Regions from separate parts of the Mus musculus genome. Here all the other regions are reported to be linked to region 3. The links are microRNA targets in miRTarBase. Many come from high-throughput screens and were not tested one by one. Region 3 holds a microRNA gene; each other region holds the end of a gene's coding sequence.

What was found. The annotated mature microRNA mmu-miR-429-3p reads UAAUACUGUCUGGUAAUGCCGU and lies in region 3 at 4,611-4,632, opposite strand. An mRNA with a match to its seed (bases 2 to 7 or 8) in the 3' UTR can be bound and repressed. Matches are read on the target gene's strand: a 7mer-m8 pairs with bases 2 to 8, a 7mer-A1 pairs with bases 2 to 7 and ends in A, and an 8mer does both.
Region 1: miRTarBase lists Cradd as a target of mmu-miR-429-3p. Seed matches in the 3' UTR shown: 7mer-A1 at 5,727-5,733.
Region 2: miRTarBase lists Ints6l as a target of mmu-miR-429-3p. Seed matches in the 3' UTR shown: 7mer-m8 at 5,524-5,530.
Region 4: the mRNA of Map2 is a reported target of mmu-miR-429-3p. Seed matches in the 3' UTR shown: 7mer-A1 at 1,302-1,308, 8mer at 1,800-1,807 and 7mer-A1 at 2,902-2,908.

The regions. Positions count from the first base shown.
Region 1 is chr10:95,169,512-95,177,247 of GRCm38, forward strand. It overlaps Cradd (CASP2 and RIPK1 domain containing adaptor with death domain), which reads right to left. Exons shown (of 3, transcript NM_001330138.1): 3 at 5,228-6,467. The coding sequence ends at 6,166. Among named protein-coding and RNA genes, the nearest start is that of Gm29684, 28 kb to the left of the region's middle.
Region 2 is chrX:56,505,538-56,513,273 of GRCm38, reverse strand. Ints6l (integrator complex subunit 6 like) reads right to left here. Exons shown (of 17, transcript NM_172779.4): 16 at 6,808-6,901; 17 at 5,431-6,394. The coding sequence ends at 6,286. Among named protein-coding and RNA genes, the nearest start is that of Gm648, 40 kb to the left of the region's middle.
Region 3 is chr4:156,049,306-156,057,041 of GRCm38, forward strand. Mir429 (microRNA 429) reads right to left here and starts at 4,682; the gene lies at 4,600-4,682. Gm13648 (predicted gene 13648) reads right to left here. Exons shown (of 2, transcript NR_132444.1): 2 at 3,410-4,724. It overlaps Mir200a (microRNA 200a), which reads right to left and starts at 5,680; the gene lies at 5,591-5,680. Mir200b (microRNA 200b) reads right to left here and starts at 6,445; the gene lies at 6,376-6,445. It also overlaps a transcript of Ttll10 not described here.
Region 4 is chr1:66,437,963-66,445,698 of GRCm38, forward strand. It overlaps Map2 (microtubule-associated protein 2), which reads left to right. Exons shown (of 15, transcript NM_001310634.1): 14 at 292-404; 15 at 830-4,621. The coding sequence ends at 1,045. Among named protein-coding and RNA genes, the nearest start is that of Unc80, 26 kb to the right of the region's middle.

The DNA of each region.
Region 1 (7,736 bases), not on the chromosome of region 3:
TGATTTTTCTTCTTTCAAGTGTGTTTCAGGCTCTTGTTTAGAATTAATACAATGGAATAGCTAAAGAAGGCTAGCTTTATAAAGAAAGAGGTTTGTTTAGATTACAGTTTTGGAGATGGAAAAGCCAAGATTGGATGGCTCCATTGATTTGTCCCTGGCAGAGTTGAGCCTAACGGCAGGGGAGCTTGCTACTAGGAAAGATCTATTGCCAAACAGGAAAGCAGAACTCCATACAAAGATGCATTCAGGGGTCACTCTTAATCCTGTAACCACCCACCCTCTGAAAAACCCAGGATTTCACTAGAAGGTTCTTAATTCCTTTTCATGAAGAGCTTTTAAAGACCTAAAGACTTCCACCAGACCTGACTCTTAAAGATCTCACTTCCCACATCACCACACCGACCATGCTACTAACAAATGAATCCTTAGGAACAAATGATATCTACATCATATCAGCCTGTAAAAATGTAAAAACAAACAACTGTGGGGGACGTGGAGGTCAACCTTGTGAAGGGAAAAGTAGGATGGAGAGCGAGGCACCACAGCTCCTGTGACTCCTCGAAGAATCCAGATCTGCTGTCCAGGGCATTAGATCTAAGATGGCTCTAGAACACCAGCAAGATAGTCATAGGAACCAAGGCCAGGGTGGTGACTGCTTCCCACATCTTCTCAGAAGTCCTAACAGGTGATGGGACTTTTATTGGGGCATGGTGACGGTGATGGCATGGCACGATATGATTGGCTCAAACACTGCATATAAGCTTATGCATTGGGCAATAAACTCAGATCTGCACCCCAATGCTGCTCTCCAGAGTCTGAGACCTGGGATCTATCATGTGACTTTTTCACCTCTCAACCACCATCCTTGGTCCTGTTCCCACAAACAAAAAACAGCAAAACAACAACAACAAAACTTACTTTTACCACTGTTCACTTTATCCAAGCCCTGTGCTCTCTAAGAACAGTAACAATTATAAAGTGAAAGGTGATGGGTTAAGATTAGCTAAATTCGGGCTGGAGAGATGGCTCAGCAGTTAAAAGCACTGACTGTTCTTCCAGAGGTCCTGAGTTCAATTCCCAGCACCCACATGGTGGCTCACAACCATCGGTAGTGGGATCTGATGCCCTCTTCTGGTGTGTCTGAAGACAGCTACAATGTATTCTGAATAAATAAATAAATAAATAAATAAATAAATAAATCTTTTTTTTTTTTAAAGAAAGAAAAACAAAACAAAAACAAAGTTAAATTGTCCACACTTAACAAGTATCCTGGACACTTCCCGAAGCAAAGGCCAGTATCACAAAATGAACAAAAATGGGGCCTGACAATGTTGAACCTACATCCTCTGCCCTGGGAAAGCAGGGATTCCTAAGGAATGCTTCATCCTTTTTAGTTGTAGGGATTGACTAACTGCAAAGGAACGCCAGTCTCTGTGTACTCTAAAACTAACCTCATCCTTCTTCCCGACTCCCATGAAATCCATGAGTGATGGATGTCTTTACTTATCTTCCTCCAAAACTCCAAAGACTCCATTCCTCCTCAATGAATGTTCTTACCCTGAGCCTGAGCGAGATCTTATCCTGACTGACCGGTGTGGTACGCTTTGTTATTCACACTTTCAGAAAGGGCGTGTTGGGGTTTATTTATAGCCATTAATACAAGATGTCCCCTGGGAAGCAGGAGATGACAATATTGAGTGACAGATGATGTCTTGACGACAGAAAACAGACAATCAAAGGGTCCACTCCCTCACCAGAAAGCCAGCATGGAGCTTAGTTTTCTGAGCAGAAAAATAACTGCTCCCAGAAGCTAAGAGAAACGAGATTCAAGCAGATGATTGCAAAAAAAGATGTTGTTAGGAACAATTTCCCAGTGTGTGAAGTAAATGGGACTCTGTTTTCTCTGATTTCCCCCAAGAAACCAACCATTCTTAGAGTGCTAAGCATAAAACACTCATTTCTTCCTCGCTGAGGAGTTCTGGTTCTAAAGAGACAAGGTGAAGGCAGGAAGTCCCTTGGAGGCAGAGACTGTCATACATTTCACAGCTGTAAACTCTTCTTTGCCAAGAGGTGGGTCCAGAGGACTGTCAGCCTAAGAGTGCCCCTCCCCAAAAGAAAAGATCTGTGGTCAGTTATATAAAAATCTGGATTCAGATAAATGATTCTATCTTTATCTCAACACCTTCACAGTGATTTATACCCTTGTGTAATCCAATACAAACAGCTCCACCCTACTGAACTCAAGGCTTCCCAATATTATTTAAAACAATAAAAAAAAATTATTCTTGGTGGACTAGTTTGGTGCAGGAAGACCAGGGTTCACATGAGTAGTTCTTGGGAAGAATGAATTGGATTCAGAAGTACTGAAAATTCCTTCAAAATTATATGTCAACATGTCTGTGTAGAACATTATACGTACATGTCTGCATCTGTGCACATCAGAGTGTGCAAGTGCTCAATGTGTTTTCTGAAGAAAGTCTCTATCATTTTCTAATATTTGTAAAGGAAGAAATCTGTGCCCTTCAATGGAGAAGAACCACTTCCTACGGCAGATGTTCTGGGCCTTCATAGACATCCCCTGCGCAGATGCCTCATCCTTGGTCAAAGTGTGTTCCAGAGGCGCGAGGTCATTGCCATCTATTTCCAGCTTAGCCATGAGGAGGCATCCAGCCTCATCCGGGGTCAGCACTGAGCTAAGTCACCTCGAAGTCATTGGCACTGGCAAGGTGCTCACAACACCAATTTGTCTCCCTAGAAACAGGGACGGTTAAGTGTCACCAAGAGCAAAAAGAATAATTATTTCATGACATCCAGCCCATTTTACATTTTCCGAAAATACTCTCCATCAAGAATGTAATGTGACACCCAAAACAGCACTGGCTAGAGATAAAATACGAAAATGAGATGGAAATACATGCTTATTGCCAAGATGTTGAATCTGCTTTTTCTTTCTGAGCATTCAAACCTGGATTTCATAGCTGATGCTTTGAATGAACAATAGCTATCAGAATCACTACCATATGTTTCTCGTGAGCTTAACAAAGCAGAGACAAGGTTTAATTGGCTCACTGAACTGTGTCTTTGAGAGACTTTAATTTTCCTATAAGAACAGTAAGTGCCAACAAGACAGACGTCCCTGTTCCTCTCAGATGTTTATAGTTCAGGGAAGTAAACAAGACATTATATTAAAAACATTCCCTGTATGCTGCAACATCTATTTTGAATTTGTACAAGTGTTGGGGTGGGGGAGAGAGGGGTGCTATAAAAAGCACCCTCAAATATGCCTGATACCTAAATCCTTGAAGCCTGATCCTGATTTTACTGTGGCTGAACACTCCACTGCTATAAAGAAGTATGGAACAGGATGGTATTTGTCAATGTGTTTAGTTTCTAATGGCTCCGAGATAGCATTTTGGAGGCATATGCATCTTGTAGACATTTGGAAGGAGTGCCATTTGTCAAGCTGGATGAAGAAGACATTAAATGGAATTCTGGTGTCTCCTAATATCCCCTAAGGGGGGGGCTATCACGCTAACTTGGGCAGGGCTTACAAGAGCTCAGCCGAAGTGTCATCTCCTCTGTGGCCAACTTAATTGCTCCCTTTTCTGTGAAGTGTCAGAGTTGCCTGGCTGTTATGGCTGCCTTCCTGGAGGGCCGAGATCCTGCTGGGCAGAGACTGTGTCTTATTTATCTTCGGATCTCCAGTAACTTGGGTGTTTTGTAACCAGCAAGAATTTGTGCCCCAACTGTAGGGATTCATTTAATGAGAGCTAAGTGTTAGATCAGAGTCCCACCCAGGTTCTGGACATGCTCTGCCGTGTGCTGCCAGTTCATTTTTCCTTACCCTGAGTCCCTAGGGATGCCCAGAAGAGCTGCACACTCTCAGCTGCTGTACAAGCCCCAGAAGGATGAGGGACCTCAGCCTAACATTTTGAGGGACCCTGGCTTGATAAAGAATATTAGGGAAAACAAAACAAAACAAAACAAAACAAAACTCAGTAGCCAAAATAATTCAGCTCAGACATTTCCTTGTCCAAACCCACTGTATGAACAATTTATCTTTTTTACCTCTGGCAGATCCTCTGCACTCATAGACCAGTTAGTGTGCATACGTGAATAAACCTGCCCAAGAAGGTGGAGTGATTTACCTGAGTGACGGAGCCTTCTTTTTCTTCAGGCCCCCCATCCCCTCAAAAGCAAACCAGAGGGGGTCCTTTTGCTCTGTTCCCACTGGCTCAGTACTCAGGAGTGGAATTGTCACATCATGTTGTGATTAGAGGTCTGTGGCTGTCTCATGTGGCAGTGAGCTCCAGAGAGTAGGGCTTGTGTCTTTGTTGGTCGGCTTTAATGTCCTCAATTAACAGAGATGAGATTAGCCTCTCAGCCGCATTAGCTTTTCCGGAAAGATCTGAGCAAATGTCTGTGTGCCTCAGAGAGGGCTTCTGAAGATGACAGACCAAAGAAACCACTCCACCCAAATCTGGACTGGTACAAGAATGAGTTTTACTAGGACTACTTGTGAGGACAATGGTGAGAAGTCACAGGGACACTTACAGGTGACAACTATACTGCCAGTCTCTCCCTCCGGCAACTGTCAATTGCGCATACACCCTCAGGAAGCAGAGGGGCTGTGTGCAACTTCTGTGTTGACTGTCCCTCCCCTAACATTCTCTTGAAGAAAAGAAACACAGCGGTAATTAGATGTAGTACAGTGGAGAGGACATCTTGGGGCAAGGGACAAAACTCAGAATGCAGACATGCTAAGCTTTGTGAGGATGCAAGGTGCACAGTGCAGGCAGTGAACAATAGTTTGCTCGGATTGGTTCTGGGTGGGGTGGGGTTATGGGTGTGTCAAGCAAGAACTGCAATGCCAGCGAACTTCTTGATGGGGAAAGCAGTTGGTAGACTTAGAAGCTGAGTGCCTTCAATCTCTTTAAAGGTGCTGCCAAAACGATAGCTCTTGCAAGTGTGCTCTAAGAGCAAAGGATGTTGTAAAGGCCTTTGGCATTGGAACAAGTGCTATGTGTTAAGGCAAGGAAGCCAAGTGTTAAAGAGCCTTACAGGGCAATCCTGCTCCAGCTGCAGAAGGGATGTGCGGGCGGGCTTAACTAAGAAACTGACGGCAGAGCAGAGCAAAGCTGACTGACTGCGGGGAGTACAAGGAGACTCTTGCTTCTCCTCATCTTATCTATTGTTAGGTTTTTGAAAGGACACAATGGACACGCACTTTATTTGCACTGAGAGAATTTAATAGAAGTTACACATTTTAAAATGTTGAAAGAAGCAGTCATGTACAGGTGATCCTCCTGCTTCAGTCTCTTAGATGGGATGACAAACACGTACACCTGTCTGGCTAACACTATGTGCAGTTAATGAAAGGCTGGACAACCCATGACGCCCCTCGGGAACTCACCGCCTTCAGCCATTCAGGCCTCAAGAGAAACACTGAGCCCTCTTGTCTCTGATCCAATGCCTTTAACAAATGGACAGAGACTCCTCATACAATTTGTTAAGATGAAGGTCTTCCGTTCTCTCCCTGGCCTCTGCAGGGAGCTTCGGTGTCTCATGCTTAATCTATACATCCTGCCTGAGTTATTTATCTCCGTCGTCACATGACTGCTATCAATCTTGCTCCACTCCCATATTTTTACACCCTCCGTCTATGCAACAGAAGAGTGGTGTGTGTGTGTGTATGTGTGTGTGTGTGTGTGTGTGTGTGTGTGATATAATACTCTCTCATTGAAAGAGGCACATTCTATATCACAATTTGCTTTTTTATTATCATCACCATTATGAAGAGCTAAATGCACAATCCAGTCTCCAGGCAACACAAGTGTAGCTGCCTTGTATGCAGGACACCTGCATTCGATGCTGTAGCATGATTTTTTGGGGGGTTGGGTAGGGTGGGTGTTGTGTTTTTTCTGGCCTCCTGTTAAAGGCCAGCCACAAAGTTCCAAACCATAGTTACAACAGCGCAGTCTTCAAGCAATTAAAGCCAATCGATGGTTGAGTGAGTGGTGGACGATCTCTTTCCGTAAACAGATCACTGAAAAGCCCAGAACAAAGCCACCTGCTGAGAAAAGTCCGGTTCAGCCAGTGTGACTTGGGAACCCACGCCCCACCACCCCCACAGCAAGTGGGGGGGGGGCGCGGGGGGGGGTCAGGTCACTCCAGCATGTGCTGGAGCAGGGAGGGATCAGCCTCCACTGCCTGGAGGCCCTTGTGTAAGCTTAGGAAGGTGGCCTGCTTCCCAAAACGCTGGCGCCAGCGGACAAAGGCCTCCACCACCTGCGAATGCACGTTGTGGGGATGGTTGGCCTTGCAGCGGTAGATGTCGGTCTGGGACAGTCCCAGAGACAGGACCACGGGCTCCCACTCCGGGCCTAGCCTCTGAGCCAGCTGGTTAATCTGCTGGTCTGATGGCGAGCTGCTGAGGATGTGTGAGGGGATTCCGGCCATCCAGTCACCTGAGGAGGAAAAGAACAGGAAATTGAATAAAGCAAGCACCTCATATAGGGAAGACTTGAGAATGGGGCGGGGCAGATAGGCGACTATTTCCGGTCTTTTTGTACTGCTCAGTTTCGTGGGCTGAACCGTGCGTGCCGCTGAAACCGCCCCCCCCTTCAGTTTTTTTTTTTTAATTAAATGTTTTCTTCATTTACATTTCAAATGCTATCCCCTTTCCTAGTTTCCTCTCCGAAAATCCCCTATCCCCTACTCCCTACCCCTGCTCCCCAACCCACCCACTCCTGCTTCCTGGCCCTGGCATTCCTCTATACTGGGGCATAGAATCTTCACAAGACCAAGGGCCTCTCCTCCCTTTGATGACCAACTAGGCCATCCGCTTAGCATCTCTTAAAAGTGTTCACTGCAGAAGATCTAAGAAGAAAAATCCATGGATAGTTGCTTAATTCTGCCTCCTTGTGTATATAGACAGACAAACATGTATCATGCTCACGGACACACTATTTTGTCACAAGGTTTTTTTTGTTTTTGTTTTTTAAACTCCTGTCTCTTTTTGTCAGAAATCTTATCAAGAGCTCTGGCTGAAAACCACTCCCCTCAATACCAGCCTGGGGGCCAGCAGTGTGCTGCTCCAAGCTGTGAGTGCTGCTCCCCTTGAAGGGTCGTGGGGAGGGGCTCGAGGCCAAACTGACAGCTTCTCTCTCCTGGCAGCCTCAATATAAAACATCGCCCAGAATAGAAGGTACAGAAGCAGGAAGCCAGAGCATCCCCTCTCCCTGAGGAAAAAAACAAGCCATAGAGGCAAGATGTGATGGGAGAAGAGACTAGAAGCCATTCGAGCTGTCTCACCATCCCAGCCAAGCCTACAGCGTAGGAGTAGGTGCTGGGGAGAGCTTGACCTTACACTTGCTAAACAGGATTCTGAAGAGTGCCAGTGTGTGTGTGGCTGTAACTGTGCCACTGTACAGACACTGACATTCTACGGGGGGCGGGGAGGGGGACCTCTAACTGGATGTGAGCCATGGAGCGAAGAAGCTAAAGCTAGCTCCTGAAAAGAGAATGCTGGGTAAAGAGGGTGGTCCAGCCCCTCCTAAGGGAACCGCATATGCAAAGGTGGAGGAACTGGAGTGTGCCAGAGACAGAGGCCAAGGGAAGTTTGAGAGGGACTCTAAGCATCCAAGATGACCGCAGCGGTGCTAAGGGTGAGGCGCGGTCATATGTGCCACAGCATCTGTATGACACTTGCTGGCCAGCTGCATCACAGTTTACTT
Region 2 (7,736 bases), not on the chromosome of region 3:
GTCACCCCTCTATAGCTGAGACCAGGTCCTAGCCTGGTGAGTTTGAGAGTACAAGCAAAACTCCCACCCCTGAGATGATGAGACCCAGCGCAACATGGCTGACTCAGAAAAACAAACAATGCCACTCCCTCTCAGTAGATGAGGCCAGTCCTTGAGGATTTATCCTCACCTGAGGACTGTTAGAAACTTAATTCCAGGCAGAGACTTACACTTGATGGGACCCTTTCCAGCTTCAAGAGTAGCAGAAGAGTCACAGGGAAAAAGATCGAGAATCTTGCTGAAGAGAACGGAACCCGTTGAGCCTCACCGGCTCTCCTCCCAACTTCACAGGATTCTAGCTTCCCCAGGATTCTTTGTGCATGCGCAGAAAAGTTGTGTACCATGAGCAGAGTAGTTACTGGCTGGGCAGAAGTCCCCCAGAGAACTGAGGTAGAACCCTACATGAAGGAAGCCTGCTTTAGTCTAGAGAACAGTTGGGGGCTTGCAAGAAATCCATTCTCTACCTCTGAACGAACAGCCACCTGTCAGAGATATCTTGAAGAGCCATCCTAAATATCCTGTGGAATAGGACCCCACGATACACTAAGAATGCCCAACTTGGAGTTGCCTTCCATGCTAAATGAGAACATTTATCCATATGCATCTCAGTGCTGCAATCCTGATGTTGTGGAGGCCTAGTGATTGTATAGTGTGATTACTTGGGAACATTGTAGAAAGCCATCCTTTGAGTACTGGCCACTGGAAAATCTTCTCCCAATGTCTGAAACTGAATGAAATAAAGGGGCACTAGACTTGCCAGAAGAAATCTGATTTATTAGTGGCTGAGAGGACTAAAAAGGAAGTAAATGACCACTATTGCTGCTGGGCCTGTACCTTGCCCCAGATTACTCATGGAGGATCTGTGGGGGACCAACCAGAATCTGCTATACACAAGCCTGGAGATCAGGAAAACTGGCTGCCACCAGCCCAGAGAAACAGGAAGCTGGGCTTTATACTGTCCAGGAGTCCTCTGTAGACAGATGTCAGTGACAATGGCAGCAAGAAAAAGACCTTTAAAGGAATCAGAATATCCATGGAGCAGGACAAAAGAGTGATTTTGGAGCTGGTGAGCAAAATCAGCTCTCATCCTATGGATGCACAAAATATGGCAAACGCAATGGGTAGTGTTCTATAGATATGCTGGATATAGTTGGGTTTTTAACATTATTCAAGTCCTTTCTTTACTCATCTTCTGAATAGTTCTACTTAATGGTTTTCAACAACTATTGTGGAGTTCTATATTTTCCCATTTGCTCAATTTTTGTGTCATTTACTTTTTCTCATTTAGTACATTATCATTTTTACAGCTTGATGAATGGACTCATTTATCACAATGCATAAGGTCTGTATTTGTTTCACATAACTATTTCTGGCTCCATGTCTATTTTGTCTTATGTTGTCACCAATCTCATTCTTGGTGATCATTTGCATGGAGTAACTGCTTTTACTTTTTCATTTTCAATCTGCCTGTGGCCACACAGAGCATATAGTTACATCATGTTCTTTCAAAATCTGTCTTCCCAATATTCAACAAACATTGACATATAACTCTCACATAGTGCTATTCATCCCTTGTAGGTTACAGTTTAGTGGCTTTTGGTAGCTGACATTTTTAAAGTCATGCTTAAATATGTATAACGTAAATTCATTATTTTCATGCATATTAAGTGTGCATAGATTCTGCAGCAATTATGACTCTTTCCAAATTTATTTGCCCCACCAAGAGAAACTCTGTAATCATTAATAACTATGTTATCCTCATCTCCCAAGATTTAACCTAAAACCTAAGGGTAGCACATGCAGTTACCTTCACTGATGCTTTCTCTTTGTTTCTTTGTATCAGTTACTGCTGTGTGTTCCTTTCAGCCTGGAGGATGAGTATTTCAAGCAGTAGGACTCAAACAGTGATGAACCTCCTAATGTTTTTTTTTTCCTCAGAGAAAGTCTTAAATTCTCCCTCATTAGTGACCAGAGATACTATACCTGATTGACAGCACTTCCCTTCTGCTGTTTGAATCCATCCTTTTTCCTTTCTTGCACAGTGCTGAGGACCCAGAGCATTGTACAGACTAGATAGTACTTTACCATAGCTACATCTACAACTCCTTTGTAGCATTTTCAGTGCTATTATATTACCTTTTGTCTTTTCATGCTTCTGATAAGAAACAAAATGTCAAACTTAGGAGTTGGGTCCCTTGTATGTAACAAGATACTCTGGTTGCCTTCAGAATCTTCATTGTCTCTTATCAGCTTGATTCTGTCAGTGATTCTCTATCTGCTTTGCACTTTCTTGAGTTGGATGCCTTTTCTGATACACATTTATTATAGAGTTTAAGAGCTTGGGACTACTGGGTCTTTAAATAGTCTCTTTCCATACTTGTCACAGTGCTTTCTCACCTCTTGTTCCAGGGATCCTACTATGTATACTATGGTGTTTTAAATGAGAATGGCCTCATAGCCTGATATAGTTGAATAATTAGGCTCCAGTTGGTGGAACTGTTTGGAAAGGATTAGGAGGTGTGTCCCTGTGGGTGGGCTTTTAGGTTTCAAAAGCCTACATCATTCTCCGCTCTCTGCCTCCTAAGGTGGCTAAGGGTTGTAAGCTCTCTGGCTGCCTGCCGCCATGCTCCCCACCATGATGGTCACAAACTCATCCACTGAGACTGTAAGCACTTATAAACACTTTCTTCTATAGGCTGCCTCATTCGTAAGGTCTTGTCACAGCAAGAAAAGTAACTAAGACATATACATTGTCATGCTTGGTGGTGGCCCATAGGCTAAGGTGAGTCTCTCAAACTCTACTTCTTGGTCTTGGTTTTGGTTTAGTGCTAAGGCTCAGAATCCAGGTCTCTTGATAGCTATATCCTCTGCTCTTTTCACTTTCATACTCCCAGTTTCTTTCAGCTCCTCAGATTGGATAATTTCAATCAACTTCACAGGTTCCTTTGTCTGCTAAAATCTGCTATTGAACTCTCTTAGGGGTTTTCCATGTCAGTTTCTATACTTTTCAGGTTCATAATCTATATTCGTTTCCTCTCATTATGCTTACATATTCCTATTTATCTTAGTTTACACCTTACCTTCCTGCTTTGATTGGACTGTTTATGCGTGTTTTCCTTTGGCTCCTTTGATATCTAAGATGACTGATATAATAAATCCAGTTACTGTGCCATCTTCTAAACCATGGCTGGATCTTGAGAGGGCTTGGTCAAGTGTAGGTTAAAACAGCACAAAGTTCTCCTACTGTTTTCATGGCCTTTCACATTATTCCACATTCACTTTGGTTACTCTAAGTCAGGGAAAAATTCTACAACCAAACACCCCACAGTAACAAATCAAAACTCTAGTACCAGAAATGGGTTGTTGTTGTTGTGTGACAAGACTTTCCCTGGGGAGATGCTACACACATATCTATTCACCCCAGATAGGGATCCCATGACAGACCAAAGTACAGGTACCACTGAAGTTCAACTTGGTGAACCAATGAGTTTTACTGTGGTTACTTACAGGAATATGGGTGAGAGGTTACATACAGGAAAAGTACTGACAACAGCAGCTGCATCACCAAAGCCCATTCCAGCATGGGTGAGAACTAAATGTCTTCCAGGCTGCTAAGCTGACCTCTGCTTTTTCCAGGCAATTGATCTGGTCTCAGGGTTTTCTTTGCAGCTTGTCTTGTATGAGAGTGACTCTCAAAAGTCCTGTTTACTCTTGAAGGAGGGGCCTAGTGAATCTGGTCAGTTTTGGGGACTTCCTGAAGCTCGTTTGAGTTGTTTAACTTCTGTTAAAGAGCTTCCCTGCATGATGGAGTTTCTCAATCTAGAGGGAAACTATCAAACAATAGCTACCGCTTTTTGAGTTGTTGCTCAATGGGGTGACATAGACTTCCAAGTAGTATATAGACTATGGTCTATACTGTTATCCTCCAGAACTTGATAGTAAGATCCTATCACTAGTCACAACAGAACATGGAAAAATCAAGCTGGTACTCACCTGGGAGCTTTACCCCTATTGGCTAGTGTTCACAGTGCTAGAAGATGCTATGCATGTTGCCGGAGAAGAAAAGTCATCATCAATCTCACTTAGGTGTGAACCCTGCAAGCTACAAGAACTGGTTTGGCAAGATTTGCCCACTGGGGCAATAAGAGCATGGTATGGGAGCCGTCAATCACTTTCTGATAGGATCTGAGGCTATTCCATGAGAATTGGACCCATACCCAGCATTGTTCAAGTAGCCAAGAATCTGTGGCTAGATAGACCAGAGGCCTTAGGGAAGAATCAATTACTGTTATTCTGTTAGATAGACACAGTAAAAAATGACTTCAAATCACGTTGCTAACATGTAATATAGATCAGTACATCTCTCACCTCTCATCAGAGAAGCATGTCTCAATAGATGGCACTTCACAGAGAAATACTCGACTGATTAACATGCAAAGAATATGAGACTGGAGTGCTCAGTCCTAATACCCCTGAACAAAATGTTCAGGGATCTTTGAAAAAAGGATCAGATGAAATACTATGAGAGCTAGATATGGCTGATCATACCAAAGAAACTGTTCTCAGACAGAATGGGACAGACATATATGAGTTAATAGCAATTGTGACAGACTCCGGAAGACCTGTACAAGCTCTAACCAGACAAAAATGCCAGCACAAAGGGACAAAGGTAGACATGGAATTCTATGGCTAGCTGGGAAGCTACTGGCATTTGCTAGTTGCTGGCAGAGGAAAAGGCAGTTTTCTTTAATGATGTGGTTGACCATATAACAGGGCAGGCCCCACTCCCATGACCAGCTGGGCAACACATACTGGGCTTGATGGGTAAAGAAAAAAAAATGAAACCTCAAAATTGTTTGGCAACATATGGTGGGTGGAGAGGCAATAATAGGAGGACTTAGGAGTGATGAATATGTTCAAAATACATGTACAAAATTTTCAATGGGCAAAAGCAGAGACAAACCTTTTGGCTAAATTTCAGAGTCCCAGTAAACTTGATTTTGGCAGTTTTCTCTCCCCAGATACTCGTATTTGGAAGGGTCTGGCCTCCCCACAGCCTTCTAATAACACCATGTTATGTTTCTAAGTTCAATTACTTTGTTAACATTAAAAAAAATTTTTTTTTGTTTATGTATATACACACATGTGCTTGTATCACAGTGTGTGTGTGTGTGTGTGTGTGTGTGTGTGTGTGTGTAGAAGTCAGAAGACAACTTCTGGGAGTTGGTTCTCTCCTTTCACCATGGGCAGCCCAGGGATCAAACTTAGGTGGCAAGGGCCTGTACTTGCTAAGCTGTCTTATGGGTCTTTTTGTTAGCGTGTTCATTTGTTTGATAGTGTGAAGTTTGTTTGTTTCTGAAAGGATATACACAAGAGACATACACCTAGAAATGTAGTTTTGAAAAAATCAATAAAATGATTTTATTTCATATATGCAAAGTGAAAATCTCTTTGATCACTTACATTTTTACAAATAAAAACAACAATACTGCTCCATATAAACTTCTGTATAAACTTCAAAGAAAATATACATATTATTTTTCCTTTTGGTGCTTCCAAAGCACAAAAATGTACAAGTCCACCTGAAAGCTTTCTGTTGTCACATGCAAGAACAGATGTCAGAGGTTAGTGCAGCCTCAGATACACTTTGTAATGGTCCTAGTCAAAGTGGAAGAGCACTCGAGGTAGATTGTTTGCTGACTCCCCCTGCCCTTTCCCAGAGAGAATTAAGTTACCGAAATAGCAGCTTTTTACTCTTTGATTCCAACGATCCTGAATATTGCATGGTTTAAAAGGCACAGCTAGAAATCTTTGAAGAGTTCTTTGAGCACAAGATCACCACGTGGACTCTCTCTGCTTTCGTGTTCTTTAGCACACAATGAGGACAGTAGGTAGTGCTCGCCTTGGAAGTGGCCAGTCCCTATTCACTCTGAAACCGCCTGGAATGGCAAGGTCCAAAATGAGTGAACTCTACTAGCTGTAGTAGGAGCAGCAGTGCTCTGTGATTCAGCATCTCTTTTCCTAATTGGAAAAAATAAACAACGAAATGAAAAAAATATTCTCAATAATTCTTAAGGCAAAAGCCCAGATTTTACTTCCAGATAATCGTTAAAAGCTCAAGTCAACTCCTTTCTCATAGCCTGAGTTAGGTCGCTCTGTCACTCAAACATACTATAGGGCTTCAGTAACGTCCCATTGCATTTGAAAGCACATAAAAGGTGTTCTTTTTCCTCACTTGGCTTGGCATTAACATGATGATCTGCTGTTGATGTGATTCACATTGTTAAGAAGGTGGTGGGAATCGATTTTTTCTAGTACCTTCTCAAGGTACTGAATTAAGACTCTTCTTTTAAACCTGAAGAGAAAAAGAGAGTAAGCATAAGTGTCATAGACAACTTTACAGAGTGCCAGGTGTTATGTAGCCTGCAGGCCAAAGGGAGCAGAAGTCATCCTCATGGAAAGAGCAGGGCTGAGCAAGGGGACATGCCAATCTGATGAGCGCACATACACATTAGCTAGAACCCATGAGTCAGGACTCTGGTAGCATCCATCAGAACACTGCAGGAAGCACCCTTACCTATGAGTAGAACAAGTGCTTTCAAAGAGAGAAAGAGAGAGAGAGAGAGAGAGAGAGAGAGAGAGAGAGAGAGAGAGAGAGAGAGAGAGAGAGAGACTTTATCCTTCATTGGATCCTACTACTAAATTAAAACAAAGACAAATAGAACCCAAAGCAATTAGAAAGCCTATACAAGTGCTGTTTATACCGACCTTGCAGCTTCCTTGATGGTAAATTCAACAAACTGTTTCTTCGTCTCTAGAGGTCCCTGCACTTCTTCAAGCAAAATGAAAATCCTTTCATACTCTGATGATATTACAAAAATTCAGTGTTATGAAAATATGCATGAAAAATAAAGTTCAATCATCATACATCCTCAGAAATCATCCTTTATGGGTAGAAAGTCTTAAATATAGCTGGTATGTTAAACACTAAAAATCAAAATGTCTGTATATATTTATGAAGGAAATTCTTATAAACAGTATTCAAATGAGGTAAGCTGAAAACTGGTTGCCCCAAACTGCCCTAATCCATGAAGCCTTGTGAACATGTGATCATATATGTATTATATGCTGATAGAATTAGGCTCTGCATATTGAGTTTTCCAGGATTACGCCCAGGGGTCCAATGTAACCACAAGTATCCCTCTTAAAGGAGTATGAACAGTTGATGGTTTCTGGAAGAGGGAGAATCGGTTTTCCCTGAGAGGATGGCTCCTGATAGGTTGACTATGCTCCACTGGGATAGCCTCGAACCCACAAGTACATGGTAGGTTCAACTAGTTATTAAAACAAAAGGACAGAAAGTTGAGGGATAGGGGTTGGGGAGGACTTAGGAAGGAGTTTGGAGAGAGTTGGGGTGAATAGGATCAAAATATATTGTAGATCTCTCTAAGAATTCATGAAAAAAAAAGAATATTAGAGCTCAGGAAGAAAAAGAGTCAGTAACAGAAGTGGATAGCAAAGGGGACAGAGAAGGGTCGAGCTGCTGACACCATGCAGGACAGAGAAGCACAGCTTCAGAACCCAGGGAAAGCAAGAACACAGATCCTGCCTTTATTCCTAAGAAGGAACACTACCCTGCTAGCTTGCCTTCACTGTAGTCCCGTGAAAATGTATTCCAAATTCTGAACTCCAGAGCT
Region 3 (7,736 bases):
ATCCCTTCCCAACCGAGAAAAGGAAAGCTCCCAGGAAAAGGCTGAGATAGGAGCTTTAGAACTGGGCAGGAGTGTAGGTGTGGGTGTGCGATTCTGCAGTCACTTTCTTAGCTTCGTATTCTTGTTATTTTAACATTGAATTCAGCTATGAATTATTATTTCTTGTCATCTATATTTACTAAAGCTAAGCTAGGTGTGGTAACACAAGCTTGTAATCCCAGCACCTGGGAGGCAGAAAACAGGAAATTGCCAAAAGCTTGAGGCTAGCCTAGGCTACATAGAGAGACCCTGTGAAACAACAACAACAACAAAAAAAAAATAGCAAGGCTCAAGATATAGCTCAGCTGATACAGTGCTGCATAGCATATATAAGATCAGCCCCGGATCTGGTCCCCTGCACCAGGAATGGCATTGCACACTTAGAATCCCATTACTTGAGGAGGATCAGAAATTCAAGGTAGTCTGACTATATAAGTTGGTGACCAGCCTGAGCTACACTACATGAAACCTTCCCTCAAAAATTAAAAAAACAAAACCAAGGAAAACCCACAAAAATAACAAAAACTTCATAGAAAACCTAATGAGTGAGTAGGGATCTATGTACCCAAGAGAGGAAGGACTGGGGTACAGCATCTAAACTGGGAAGCTACCAGCTACTGCCCTTATCTAGGAAGCGCGTTTCAGGGCGTCTCTGAGGAGGAGACCCAAGATCCAGAAAGGAAGTTTTACACTAAAAGTTTCAGTTACAGTTTCAGGAAGCAAGCTGTCTAATACTGAAGCAAATGGTGTGGTCATGAATCTTGTGATATTACATAAAAGTTAAGGGAAAGCTCAAGGTGAGGAGCCAGACTGAAGCCTGAAGTCTTTATAATAAATTTAAAATAAACATGTTTACCTGATCAGATAAAAAGACCGGCAGGAAATCACACCCCGGTACAATGGGCAGGAGATGCGTTTAAACCTGAAGAAGATGGCCAAGAAAATGACCATGTCAGTGCTCTGCTGAAGTTTTCTCTAGACACACACACGTTTGGCAACACAGGGCTCTGAGAAGGTGCTGACATTTTTTGAAGGGCCGGTGCCTCCCAAGCTGCGCTCACTGTCTGGGGATGCGTTCTCTGTGGATCTCAGGAGGTGGCCCTTCTGAGGGGTCAGTTCTGGGGGAGACAGACACGGCTCTAGGCAAAGAGCTCCTTCTAAGGGGTCCCAGCCCTCCCCAGAACTTGAGTTGCCCACATGGACCAGTCCCGCCCCACAAGACACGCCTTTGTTGGCTGAGACACTTGGGTTTGGAGAGTGTGGCCTTGGCAGAGGGCTGAACTCAGCCAAGCTGCCCAGTCCTCTCTCCTGTTTATCTACTTCCGGAAAGAGTCAAAAATGAGGCACAGGAGGGCAAGGACTCAGCCTCAGTCCTAGTCAGGACCCTCAGCTTGTAACCACCTAGTCTCTCTTACCTGCTCTCAAGGTCTTAGGAACCCTCTGCTGGGATACAACAGTGGTGACCTGGCAACTGTCTCCAGGCAACTGTTACTAGGGAACTATGATTCAGCAGCTGCCCAAAGGTAAACAAGAGTTTTAGGTGGATGGTGAAAGGGACCATTGAGTTGAAGGGCAGCCTTACAGAAGTTGGGCAAAGCAAGAAGTGGAGAATGGGTCAAATTGATCTGAGGAGGCTGGGGGGAAGCTGTTCCTGAGTTCACAACGCCATCTGAATCTGGGGCATAGCCCCACATCTTCCATCCTCCCATGAACTATATATATATATATATATATATATATATATATATGTGTGTGTGTGTGTGTGTGTGTGTGTGTGTGTGTGTGTATGTATATGAAATTTTTAAAAGATTTATCTTATATATGTGAGTGTACTGTAGCTATCTTCAGACACACCAGATGAGGATATCAAATCCTGTTACAGATGGTTTTGAGCCGCCATGTAGTTGCTGGGAATTGAACTCAGGACCTCTGGAAGAGCAGTCAGTGCTCTAAACCACTGAGCCATCTCTCCAGGTCCCCTTCCCCCCATGAATTCTTCCTAGATGATTTTGAGTATTCACAGGGACTCCTTAATCCATACCTAAAGAACTAGGATCTAACACCAAGCATGGCTCAAAGTGGCTTTGAGGCCAATTTGTAGTTTCCTGCTGGGGTCCTTGGGATCTGGTGTGACTCCTGCTTTTGACCCCAAGTTTTCAGCCATATGGATCCACATTCCTGTCATCTTTCAGAGCCTTGCAAGGATCACAATAACTTGACAGGGGCTACATGGTGCTTCCAAAAACCAGGACCATATCCTGGAGTCCATGACCGTGCCTTTCTAAAAATAGAAATCTGTACAGATGTCACTGAGTTAGAATTTTGGGTGCAGTCATCTTGTGTCAACCAGCCGTACTCTAAACCCAGTGACTGGTGACCTCTTTAGAGGGAAGCAGAGATAAGGGTATGTGACTGTAAGCCACAGGACCTGTGAACTAAGACGAGGAAGACACTTGAAGACTCCCTCTAGGGCCTTCTTGAGGTTCTAGGGGCATATCTTGGAAATTCTGGAAGACAACTGTTGTCTTTGGCTACCCTGTAAATCTCCTCACCTTCAGGTTCTTTTGTGGTTCTGCTCATGTTAAGGGGCTCTAGCATCCCCTTAGAGGCTGGGCATGACAAGTCACTCACGTGGCCTTCCCTAGTCTAAGCTGCCAGTGTGGGAGCTTGTGCTTGGCAGGTCTGAAGGAGCACCATTTCTCAGCTGTGCCCAGAGTCCTATGGCGATAGGAGTGCCCCATAGGTTGTCATTCTCTACTTGTGAGATCTGCCCTTCTTATGCTGTGCTGGGAGTCGGGGTCTCTGTGGTCAGTCCAGTGCTGGATCAAGAGACCTCTCTGCTCTAGACTAATAGTACAGTGGGACTGCAGGTGGGCTGGGGCACATAGCACTTCTACTAAACCCTGGGCTGAGTTATTGGGGCTGAAAGCCTCCAGGCTGGACAGGTAGCTCACCCAACCCTGGAGAGGCTTTGGACCAGCAGCCAGCTGTCTCTGATCCTGGCTATGACATTTTCAATGCACACTCCAGGAGCTGGGGATTGTAGCTCAGGGGTGGAGTGATTGCTTTCACATTCATAACACCCTGGGCTTGGTTCCTGCACAAGACACCCAATTCTCACTCCAAGGCTGACTCTTGGCTGAGACAGGAGCCCCCATTTTCCTGATTCACCTGTCCTTGGTAGGTTCTAGAGTACATATTGCATACCAGAGCTGGTTTGTGTAATGACTGGCTGGGTACAATGAGCCCCATGTCTCTCTTCTATCTGGCGGGAGCACCGATCACTGGAGTCCCCGTGTCCTCGGCTTGATCCTTTGCAAGGCTGCTTGTTAATGTTTTGTACGGTGAAAATGAGATGATCAACATAAAATTTCAGAAATCACACAATTTATTGCCTTACAAAGATTTTTTTTGCCTGCATTTTATTTACAATGCTTGAAGAGATGACAAAAAGGGGACCACCTATTATAGAGCGCACGATGGGCGGACAAGTCCCTCAGCCACATAGAACTTGGAGCCCAGCAGGTTTCTGTGGAAGATGAAGTCCAGTGTCCCTATAATGGTTCTTTAGAGGAATGGCCTGTCCAGGGCTAAGAAATCTGTTAGGGCATGTTGGGTTCCTTCAAGAGGGCAGTGGATGAGGTAGGGTTTGGCTCTGCTGGACTCAGGCTGTATTGGCCAACTTGAGGTTTGCAGAAGTCTAGGTACTGAAGCCAGCAGCTTGCAGATGAGGTCTAAGAGGTTCACTTCTAGTTCTTATCACAGCAACACTCAAACTCCCCATATAGCAAATGATGTAAGCATTGGGAGTCATTCTAGAGCAACCGTTTTAGCAACAGCCTTTTGAAAATTCTCAGGGACATGGGGTGGGGGTGGGATCTTTAAGATCGGGCCATTCAGCATCCAGAGTTAGACTGAAAGATGACTCTCAGATCCTAAGAGCCAGAGGTGGGATGCATAGGAAGAGCTCATAAGCAGGCTGACAACGGCAGAGCTGTGCAGCCTTGTGCATATTCCTGGGTATGAGTCACTATCACCTGGTCTGGCACCTTGGCAGTGCCCCTGTCCCTGAAACCCATATACTTATTTTCCACTCCGGGTTTGGGCACAGTGGTTAGACTTGCTTTTACTCTCCTTGGTTCCATGACCTGAGAATTTTGGAGAGGAGACAAAGGACCAAGGTTTTAGATCTCCTCTTGTCTCCTACCAGTGTTGATAGCACAGGGGCTACAGAATCTGCAGGTGACAGCTGACGACAGATCGAAGTCTCTGTGTGGAGCCCAGTGGGCTATGGAGGGCAAGAGGACTGTGACCGCCCCACTGACTATTCCTGAAAAGGATGGATACGGAGGCCTCAGTCTGCTGTGGCTGTAACCGAAAGCTACTACAGGGTCAGAGGAAGGCAGTCAGGCTCAGCGGGGCCTGTATATTTAAACTGTGGTCTGTTTGCATAGAGGGCTTGATGAACCCAGCTCTGGACAGTTGTAACAGATGGATTAAGGTCTTGTCTCTACCCAGTGTCCACGAGGTGGTGAGGATGTCGTCTCCAGCGGTGATAAGGCCGTGGATGGACGGCATTACCAGACAGTATTAGACAGATGCATCCAGATCTAACCATGTCTGGTAAGACATCCATCAGCAGGGCAGTACAAGGGCCTCCCCATCTGGGCAGTTGGATTTGATACCTGTAGAGGGAAGGCCAGGGTTGGCTTCCTGCCTGCTCTGGTCCAAGGGCCATTCTTGGGGTTCACCCTTCTAGGACCTGGGACTACTCTAAGGACTTTCTTACCAGGGCCCAGCTTGGTTGCCTGTTCCTCAAGTGTGGAAGTCTGTGGGTGCAACAGGAGAGTCATCTGCTCACTCTTACTTGGCAAATGCTCGTCATAGCACCTCTTTGGTTTTCTGAATGGCTGTCAGCTTAATGAGTAACATTAAAGCCAGGAACAGACTCCTTCCCCCGGAAGAGTCATCTAGGCTGATACTGGGTGGGGCTCCCTGACCCTGTACTCTGGCTCCAAGTAAAGAAAGATAAGAAGTAATCCTGGATTCTGGTTTGGGGCAAAGTTCCTATTCTGGAAAGCCATTGGGAAGGAATAGAGATTCCTTGTTCTTAATTAGGAAACAGCTGATGACGTCACAATTCTGTGTACCAGGCTCAGGTCCCCGAACCCACCCTTGCCCATTGGTCCCATAGGCACTGACAGTCCTTATGCTAACACTGCTATCCATGTCTCCTTACCTAGCTCAGCATCCTCACTAACCCTCACAGTCTCTCTAGGAATCAATGAACCCCCAAATCCAGCAGAGGAGTTGGCAAAGGTGGGCATCGCTGCTCTGAGAATGAGTGACAATCCACTTCTACTCCAGTACCCCTGGCATGGTGAAACCATCCCTTGTCCCAGCATGAAGTAATAGACAAGGGTCAAAGTCCAGCCCCCACTGACTGCTGATCTGTAGAGCTGAGACAGGCCCTCTGCACCCAGCACCCAGCCTCGGCCTAACTGGAGTCCAGGAGGACAAGTGTGTATCATCAGCCTGTCTTCGGCGAATGGTGGGTCACCTTTGAACATCGTTACCAGACAGTGTTAGAGTCAAGCCAAGAAATCCAGCACTGTCCGGTAAGATGCCCACAGAGGCCCAGGTATGCTCTGGCAGGAAGACACAGGTGGTTTCCACCCTCAGGGAGGCCCAGTGGAAACCTGATGCCATGAACAGCCAGAGACCGTATATGCATCGCAATAAGCCAGCAGAGATGTTGACCCTAACTCATACGGTCTGCTTTGTCCAAAGCAAGGGGACAGTGACACATTGGCTCAGTGTGCATGTTGGAGGTGCTGTTGGTCAATAGGTCGGTGCTCACTTGATGCAGGAAGGTAAGGTATCCCAGGCTTGAGTAGCCCCACTAGGGGGTCAATCAGTACACAGCTCCTAGATGTAGGTGAGGCAGTTTTTGGCATGAGGCCCTCTGAGCCTAGGCGGAGACTTAGCCCTTTAGAGCCTTTGCTGCACTTCCACCCAGCGTACACCTGCCAGGTGTGGTGGCAGCACCTGCCTGGGTATTGTATGCAGAACCCAGGCACTTGACTGTCCTAATTCCCAGGGCATTGGGAGGGGGCGCCCCCAGGGCAATGGGAGGAGCCTCTCACCCCAGGATATAGAGTGGCCCTCAGAGGTGCCTGGTTTGGGGGAACTCTCCCTAAAGCCTCCCACCACCCATATCGCCAAGGCTAACTCTTTGCCCCATAGCCCTACCTTGGATAAGGTAGGTGAGGTGTGGAACTGGGGCCCCTGGAGGCTGGGATCAGGAGGCGGCTCCATTGCTGCATGCAGGGCTCCGCCGTCATCATTACCAGGCAGTATTAGAGATCAGACACTATCCAATGCTGCCCAGTAAGATGGCCACGGCTGCCCAAGTTGGATATGGAGGCCGCCTAGCAGGGAGTTGAAGATGACTAGATTCCATGGGCAGGGCCCAGATGCCTAAGTGTCCTAATCCCCAGAGCATTGCAGAAGGAGGGCACCCCTTCAGGACAACAGCAGAAAGCCCTGCATTCTCATCTCCAAAGATAGGTAGTGGAGAGGTCAACAGCTTGAAGTAAGATCAAGTTCTCTTTTGGAAATTAGATGGAAAATAATTAGGATGGGGGTCTTATAGGCCCTGAAGCCTCTTTCTTGCCTCTCTATAAGGCCCAGAGGAAGGACTTAGCACCCATGGCCATAGACAAGTTCCCCTGCCCAGCCAAACCTGACCTGCAGTGGACTAGCTTGGGGCCCAGGTGAGGACTTTGAAGGGTCAAATAGTCCTTCCCAGAGGCTGACAGCCCGAAAGAGCTGGGAGGCAGGCTATGTAGACTTCCATGTGACCAATGGCCAGGTCAGGATCAGGTCATAGACAGGCCCTCCATCTGAGTATATTCACTACAGAATAGCCTAGACAACAGGTCCAGTCCCATTAGGGTACACAGTGTACTTAAGGTTGATGAGGTTCACTCAGTGGGCCTCTGTCTCCAGGATACTGTTCAAGTCTACTTTCCTGCCCAGCCCCTCTTGCCTTTTTCAGGGCCCAAGAAGGATACTGGGATGAGGGACCAGGGATCCAACACTTCAAGCGTATGGGAAAAGCAGCCCCCAGTATGAATACAATAATCACATACCCATAGAAAGATCTTTTTGTTGCTAAGGACATAGCCTGTAGTCTCCCATACAGAGCCAAGAAACTAAGCACCTGTCCCAAGGATACTTGGGACTGAAAGAGACTCAATCTGTGCCTCTCCTCATCCCAAGTCCGTCTTTACAGAAGTATTTCTTCTCGTTTTTCTGGTCTTTTCTATCACAGACACAATACAGGTGGCTCAAGCCCTGTACTGATTTCCTCGGATCACAACGAAGGCGTGTGTCACTGCCTCCAGGCAGCCGCTAGTTCTCCAGCCTCTCTCCTGAAAGCCAACATTTCTGAGGACCTGACCTGAGCACAGGCTGAGCAGATGGGAATGGACACTCTATAGGAGCCTAAGGTTTTAGAAACTGTCCTAACTCTTCGTCTATCGCCTACAAGGTTCCCAGTGCTCTCAAACACCCGTCAGATATACTTCCCCTTTCCCGAACTTTTTTAGTTCTATCCTATCAGATTCATAAAACCGGTGCTTCAAAAGGACTTTCTCTCTCTCTCTCTCTCTCTCTCTCTCTCTCTCTCTCTC
Region 4 (7,736 bases), not on the chromosome of region 3:
TTATAACAAGGAAACCTCTCTGGTTTCTAAGACAGATATAGATTTGAAAAAAAGTAATGCATAATACATGAAGTAACGTGTATAACAGTATAGGAAAGATGCCATTGTCTTGGATCATAAGGCAAAATGAAGTGGGCTAAAAATTTTAACAGATTTCTCCCATGTCTGGTTAGGACAGGAAAATATACCTTCTCTGGCATTCTATATGGCTTATGCTTGTGTGAGTGTAGTTTTTATAAATATAAGATTCCATTTCAGCAAGGCATTTAAAAAAGGCTTTCTCTCCTGAAGGTGGTGGACGTGTGAAAATTGAGAGTGTAAAACTGGATTTCAAGGAAAAGGCCCAAGCTAAAGTTGGCTCACTTGACAATGCTCACCACGTACCTGGAGGTGGTAATGTGAAGGTGAGAATGGCAATGAACCAGTCATGTTTCTTATGAAATATTCTTTTTAAGTTATTTTTTATTTTTGAGGTTATAATATACATTATTACATCATTCCCCCTGCCCTTTCCTCTCTCTGAAACCTTCTTTCTCTTTCAAATTCATGGCCATGTTTTTAATTAGTTACACACACACACATACATATTAGTGTGAATATATGTTCCTAACTAGTAAAAACCTACAACTACTACTTTAGTAACCCAGCATTACTCCTAGCTATTCTGAAATAGCTTGATCAAAGTGGATCTCTGGTTAAAGAACTTCTCAAACAGGAAGGAGAGATGCTAAGCTGAATACACATCATATTCTTATATGAACAGGTGGGAAAGAGCTAGTGATTGGTGAAGATGCTTGAACTAATGAGGGCTGATGTTTCTCTTCAACAGATTGACAGCCAAAAGTTGAACTTCAGAGAGCATGCAAAGGCCCGGGTAGATCACGGGGCTGAGATCATCACACAGTCCCCAAGCAGGTCCAGCGTGGCATCACCCCGACGACTCAGCAACGTCTCATCTTCTGGAAGCATCAACCTGCTCGAATCCCCTCAGCTTGCCACTTTGGCTGAGGATGTCACTGCGGCGCTTGCTAAGCAGGGCTTGTGAATACTTCTCCTTTAGCACTGGAGTAACATTTAGGCATGAGCTCTTGGCAGGAGTGGGCTCTGAGCAGGTGTCATATTCATTCTTTACAAACCATAGAGAAATAATTTCATCCCCCAACTGTAGTAATTGTTACAATTTTATATAAAAAATTAATAGTATATGCAGAAAATGACCTGAATTCCATCCGCAACAAGGACACATGGCTTTACATGGATACAATCGGACAATTATTTTCGCTCTGCTCTGTTTTGCATGGAGTATTATTATTATTTTTTAAATTGCATTTTTACCTTTCATGTGCCTGAAGGCTATCCAATACATTCTGAAAGGCCTTGTTAAAAATCCAAGCTGCTCATTTCCCTATTCTGTTTATGGTTGAAAAGATTAAAACCTACCCATTGTTACTTACTACAGGTTCGATGAAATCAAGGAGTCTGATTGCAGGAAGGAAAGAGCATGTAAGAAACACATTTTTTAAAGTGTTATTTTGTATAAATGGGAAGAAAGACGCAATTAAGTTATTGACACTTGGGACCTGGACGAGTATATCAGAGTATGCCATTCCAATAAATTATTGAACTACAAGCTAGATTTAAGGCATTTGAGCGTTGGTTGAAGAAGTGGTGTCAAAGTGCATCTCTTAGGATTGATGCACTTTTGTTAGGATGGGCTTGTGTCTGATTAGAATGTCAGTCGATTGGCTAGATTTATATCCACACAATCAGTTTCACACCCCCATTCCATCTGTTTGATACAGTATTATAGATATAAATATATATATATATTTCTCTGTGGCCATTTGTGATACTTCCTCATATACTTGAATATGATACTTCTTTATTCACAGTATCTGTGTCTCCTGCACCCTTTGGTGTTGCAATTTTAGGTATGTGAAAGTAGATGTTAGCAGGGTTCTCTCCCTATTTAAAAATAAATTTTAAAAAGACAAAGAGTTTTAGCATGAAGTTGCTTTCTGTAACAACTCAAAGCTGTAACCCTGTCTTAGTGCCAGAATCAAGTCTTTCCTGTGATGCTAGAACATTTTACTTTTCTTTGCTTCCACCAACATGGAGTTTGTGGAGTGGGTCCAGTTATGCATAAAGGGGTTTACAGATGTTGGTTCAAGGATTATGGATTTATCTCATGTATAATCACTAAATAGGTCGGGTTTTATCCCTCTAATTATCCATGACACCAATCTCTTACTATTCATTACTCTTTCTTCTATTTCCTTTTTCCATTTGCTAAAGTTGAAAGTAGGAAAAAATAATTTTGAATAGCTTTTCTTGTTCTCCAAACAGTATCTGTTCATTAAATTCTGTGATAGAATATATTTGGCTTCCTTCCCCCAAAGACCTCTTGATCAAAGATGAAAAATACAACATATAAAGAAGCTATATATGTAATACTTTTGAGACACAGATATCTAAATCCATCTCTCCAGGATTCTTCATGAACATGGAACATGGTATTACTTATTCATGAGTAAATGCTATTTTTTTCTTGCTTTATATACAATCTAGACATCACAACTCAATTACTATCATTTACAAATCATACTTAATGAATAAGTAATAGTCGATGGCCCAAAATAAGGCAGAGCATTATCAAACCGAGTGGACTTTTTTTCTTAATATTTAATTTGTTCTTTTGCTTGCTCGGGATTGGTGGGTGGAATATGCAGAGATAAATGTGAAAAAGCTGTCTGGGTGTTTTATGTCTCTGAAATAAACCAAGCCCTGTATACAAAGGAGAAGGTGAACATGAACAGGATAGGAAGATGTAGGAGTGTCTAAGACAGAAGGCAAGAGGATGCAAAAGTGGAGAGAAACAGGTGGCAGTTTAGTGACCCATTGAGTATTATGACCAATGTGACAGTCACATAGAAAGCTTAGCATCAAACAGAGACAGTCTTATTGGCTAGTAGGCACACACACACTACAGTCGTCTTTGTAAATTGGTTATTTTTTATATAACTTTAAAACTACTGAATAGTGGTTTTCACTCTGGACAACCCATTCCTTACCTTCTCTTGAAATGCACAGAAAATGGAAGAAGGAATGACTGTGTGTGGAGAAGTACAGTCTTTTCTTACATGTTTTGATAGACAAGGATCAAAGTTGTCTAGGAAAAAAAGGTACCAGATGATCCATGTGGTTTTAAACTATGCAGAAAATAATTTCAACCCAGTTTATTATAAAAATTAAGCCTAAGTAAACATTTTCTTTGTGTTAAAATTCAGTTTCTTATGATGCGTGTTCAAAAAAATTATGTAAACCCCAATGTTAATAGATCTAGCACTAAAATAATCATTTTTTCTAATGTCAAAACAATTATAATGGATATAAGTCCTTGTTCTATGTGAAATGTGTTTCTCTATAAAGTTATCACAAGAAGGAATTTTTATAGGAGACAGACAGAGAAATGCACAGGCTAAAATCATTTCCTTATGGGAATGTGGGATGGAGCTCACCTTACCTACTCTCTTAAGATAATGACTCAAATTAAGCTTTTTGGACACCACTTTTGTGGGGATACACATACGCTGATCTAGAAATGAAAGGTGCACTACTGCATTTCTAGATCCACTAATGCCAGTTTCTCTCTGGCTTTAGCCTTTGAGAACCTGTTTAAGAATACGTAAGTATCCAGAGCTCGGAAGAGTTCCAAGGCCCACTTTTTCAATAAACTCACACACTCTGGGTCTCCTGCAACTGACAATTGGGTACCTTGCAACAATGCAGGAAGGATCCGAGTCTATGATGAGTTTCAAAGGCCAAGTTCCTTTAGGAACTGACTCTCTCTGGATCTGCCTGCTGCGTTCCAGCAGGATGACGGGCTGAAATCCCACCCATAGGAAAGACCCCTGTGCAATTCCAGCTCAGTTTGGCTGAAGGTAGCTGAAGAAGAGAGCCAGTAAAGGGAAGAATAGACTGTAGTTGCCCTTCTCCACACACACTCACACAGATGTGGGGTAGAAGAGAGATATAATGCCAAATGTAGCATTATGTCAGTGGTAGTAAAGAAATGATATAAAAGCAAATAATTCTGACTTAGCCTCATTTATAGCTTTCCTCTCATATTTCATGCCACATGGGGGAAAAAAGGAAATGATTGTGGTAGAAGTAGCAAAGTAAAAGTAGATTAATCATTTGGAAAAGGCAAATTTCAGGCATTTCTCCAAGATTGATGTGCTAAAATTAATACTTATGTTTGTGTTTTTACACCTAGAAGTTTTAGCCTGGACATGTAGATTGAGGCCAAGTCCCTCTGTAGGAAAAGGTTTTTTTTTTTTTTCAAAACCCCTAAAAAAAATGCCAATCATGAAAGTCCACTTCAACTTTAGCAAAAAGGGGGGAAAATTCAACAAAAAGTATACTCTGTATGCTGGGATCCCAAGGTTTCAACACACCATCTGTGGGGGGTTCTTTCTTCTGATAATTCTAGAGCCTGTTACCATAGAAAGGTATTTCTTCAATGGCTGGTTGTAGTTAGTTCATGTTTTTCAATCAATTTGCAAATGTATTTGTTGCTGTATAGTGATTGTTTTGCAAAATAAAATTGCTTGTCACCTAACTACAAGTTTCAGATTTTTTAAAAACATTGTTTCTTCATCTCTGGAGGGGAAAATAGGTGTGTGTGTGTGTGTGTGTGTGTGTGTGTGTGTGTGTGTGTGTGTGTGTGTGTGTGTGTGTGATATGTATATGTACATACAAATCATTTGATCCAATCAAAGAAAAACTGAGGTTAAAAGGCCACAATTACCTATCAATTTCTTATTTGTGATTGTTCCCTATAGAAGGCAATTCTATATTACCCAATCTACTTGATAAACAAATGTTTTGTTTTGTTTTGTCAATTCCAGGACAGTGCACATACCAGAGAAATATTCTACCACTGTGCCACTGAGCTAGATCTGTGAAAATGCAGTTTTCTATTCTAAAAGAAGAGTTTGAGTGAGACCCAGGTGTTGTACATAATCTTACAAAATTAGCATGTGAAAAGTAGGTTGGGGGCAGGGGATACTGATTTTTCCTACCCCAAACTCAACTCATCCCATTGTCTCCCTTTCAGTGGCACTCCAGGGTGTTCCTGAGTAAACCATGGCTCATTATCATGCACACACAGCTGGATGGAGAGTTAAGTTAAGGAGACACTACATATATGAACTTATATGTAGAGCTACACATACCAAGACAGAACATGAACAGAAAAACCCATGCTATGCAAATGAGCCAAAAATCCTGTGCTAAGGTAATTTATAGCCCAGCTTGGTGCAGTGATGTCGTCCGGCTGCTCAGCTAGCTCCTGGTTCCTGTATGTTTCCCCCTTTGGAAGCTCATCCATAATATCCTTTGTTCCATTGTGCTTGTCATTATCTACAGTTTTTTGTTCCAGGACATAAGAACCAAGAACTGGCGATGCGTGCCCACGGAACCCTAGTATCAGCTGACATCATTAACAGGATGCTGTCTCTTCCCAGTACTAGAAACTTAAAATGGCTTAAGCTCAGGTTCAATTTCTTGGTTCAATTAAATACCTAGACAAGTCATCTGCCTGCTGTGTTCACTTTTCCTGGGGTACACAGGAGAATATCTAGTCACCCCAATGTGTTCCAATGACAGACCAATGTATGCATTCACCAAAGTTCAACTTAGTGAGACCAGTGAGTTTATTGTCCTTTCTTAATGAGCCCAGGAATTACATTCAGCAGCATACATGACTGCACGTGCACCCAAGTCACCTCAAAGTGCTCCCTCAAAGTGCTCCCCCACGGATGCTATCCTCATAGAAAAGGCATCATGAAGTCTCTCTTTTAACCTTTTACTTTAGTATTTAGTAACGTCTTCTAAGATCACTTGTAGCTGGATGAGAGAGTAATCCCCCTGGAATCCCAGAGAAGGTTCTCCTGACCCTCCTTGGTAGGGGTCAATAGCTCCATTACCATAGATCTGGCTAGTTCTGCTTAGTTGCCATGACTAAGGGTCAAAGTCGCAGAAAGGTATCTGGTTAGGATGGGAGGAAAAAGAGCCAAACAGTGTTAGGGTTCAGGAATTGTTGAAGGAAGACCCCAGACTCAAATAGTATGCAAGAACAAAGAGTGTTTACTCTGCAGAAACAACCAGCATGCTAGGGTCAGCACAGCATCAAAATGGCCATGACCCCAGACAAAGGCATACACCTTCTTATAGGGAACTGGGGGAACTCTCTAGAATGATCCGGTAATCTCTAATGTAATTGGTAGAAGCTAAAGCCCTGACATTAGTACAATTTTGATTAGCTACTGTGTTAGGGTTAAGTAATTTAAAACTTCATTGGTGGGTGCTGAGATGCCCCAGACGGACTGCATTAACCACAGGATGGGCTGCCCAGCACAGATGGCCTATCCTGAGATCAGATATCTCCCATTCATGTGACTATCTTCAGGCTGTTTCTCGGATGGGGGGTTTTATTGTCTTGTTCCTGGACTTTTGGGGTCTGCTGCTTGAGCAGATGGTAATCTACCATCATGTTAGTTTATTAGTCAATTCATTAGGTAGTTGCAGCTATTAGAAAAGCAAATAGGCTTGCCTTCCTTATAGACACCATGCTAAAAGAAAAGGAACTCGCTTTACAGTGACTGCTCCCAGTGGTCAACCACCTGTGTCTCATTCATGGCCTAGTTTCATGGTCTGCTCCTGGAGTGGATGATGTATGGCCTAGTTTCTGAGAGGAGACAAAGAGGAATGAACGGATCCCTTCAACAGTACTGGCTGACTGGAACTAGATAACCCAAAAGGTTGGTCAAGAAGCGCTCTCCTTCCCAGTTTTGGATCCAGTCATTCAAAGATATCACCAAAAAAATTTCCTCTTCAACTTTTAGGCCTCCTTCCCCTGTGTTGCCTTTCATCTCAATCAGGGATCCCTTCTATGACAGGCACCAGAAACTCCAGATCCCACAACCTACCAACACACCCCTCAGTCCTGTTAGGTTGCCCACAGTCCACATCCTAAAATCTATGCAACTCTCTGGATCTCCTGCTCAGTTATCACCATTTAGGCTTTCGTTTGCATTTACTAACCTTCAAACACCTCCTTAGACCCTAAAACATTTTCTTAGATCCTCATACTTTAAGCTTTATATCCTCAAACCTTGCACAAACTTTACAGTTTTTTTTTCTATCCAATTATTTACCATGAATGAGACACAGGTGGTTGATCACTGGGAGCAGTCAATGTAAACTGAGTTCCTTGTCTTTTAGCATGGTGTCTATAAGCAAGGCATACCTACTTGCTTTTCTAATAGCTGTAACTAGCTAAGGAATTGACTAATAAACTAACATGATGGTAGATTACCTTGGATAAGGAGCTAGTTACCTGTCCTCTAGCTGTCAAGCTATAGTTAGCTTAGCTATCAGTATGATCAGAGACCTGAGAATAGATTATAATCTAAATGCCATACATTAATTAAAATTACAAAAGTTTTTCTATACTCCACTACCTAGACAATTCTCCCAGGTTCCTGTTGTTGGTATTCTGTTTGGACTCCAACCCCATAGTTTCCTGGGAACAGCCAGGTATGCCCCTCGCCTCAGTTACCTAGCAACAGGCCCCTATAAAAGGGGCTGCTTCCCCCCTCCTCTCTCTCATTCCTGCTCCTCTTCCTTGCCTCTTGCCCTCTTGCTCCCCCTCTCTCCCCATTCACTTCCCC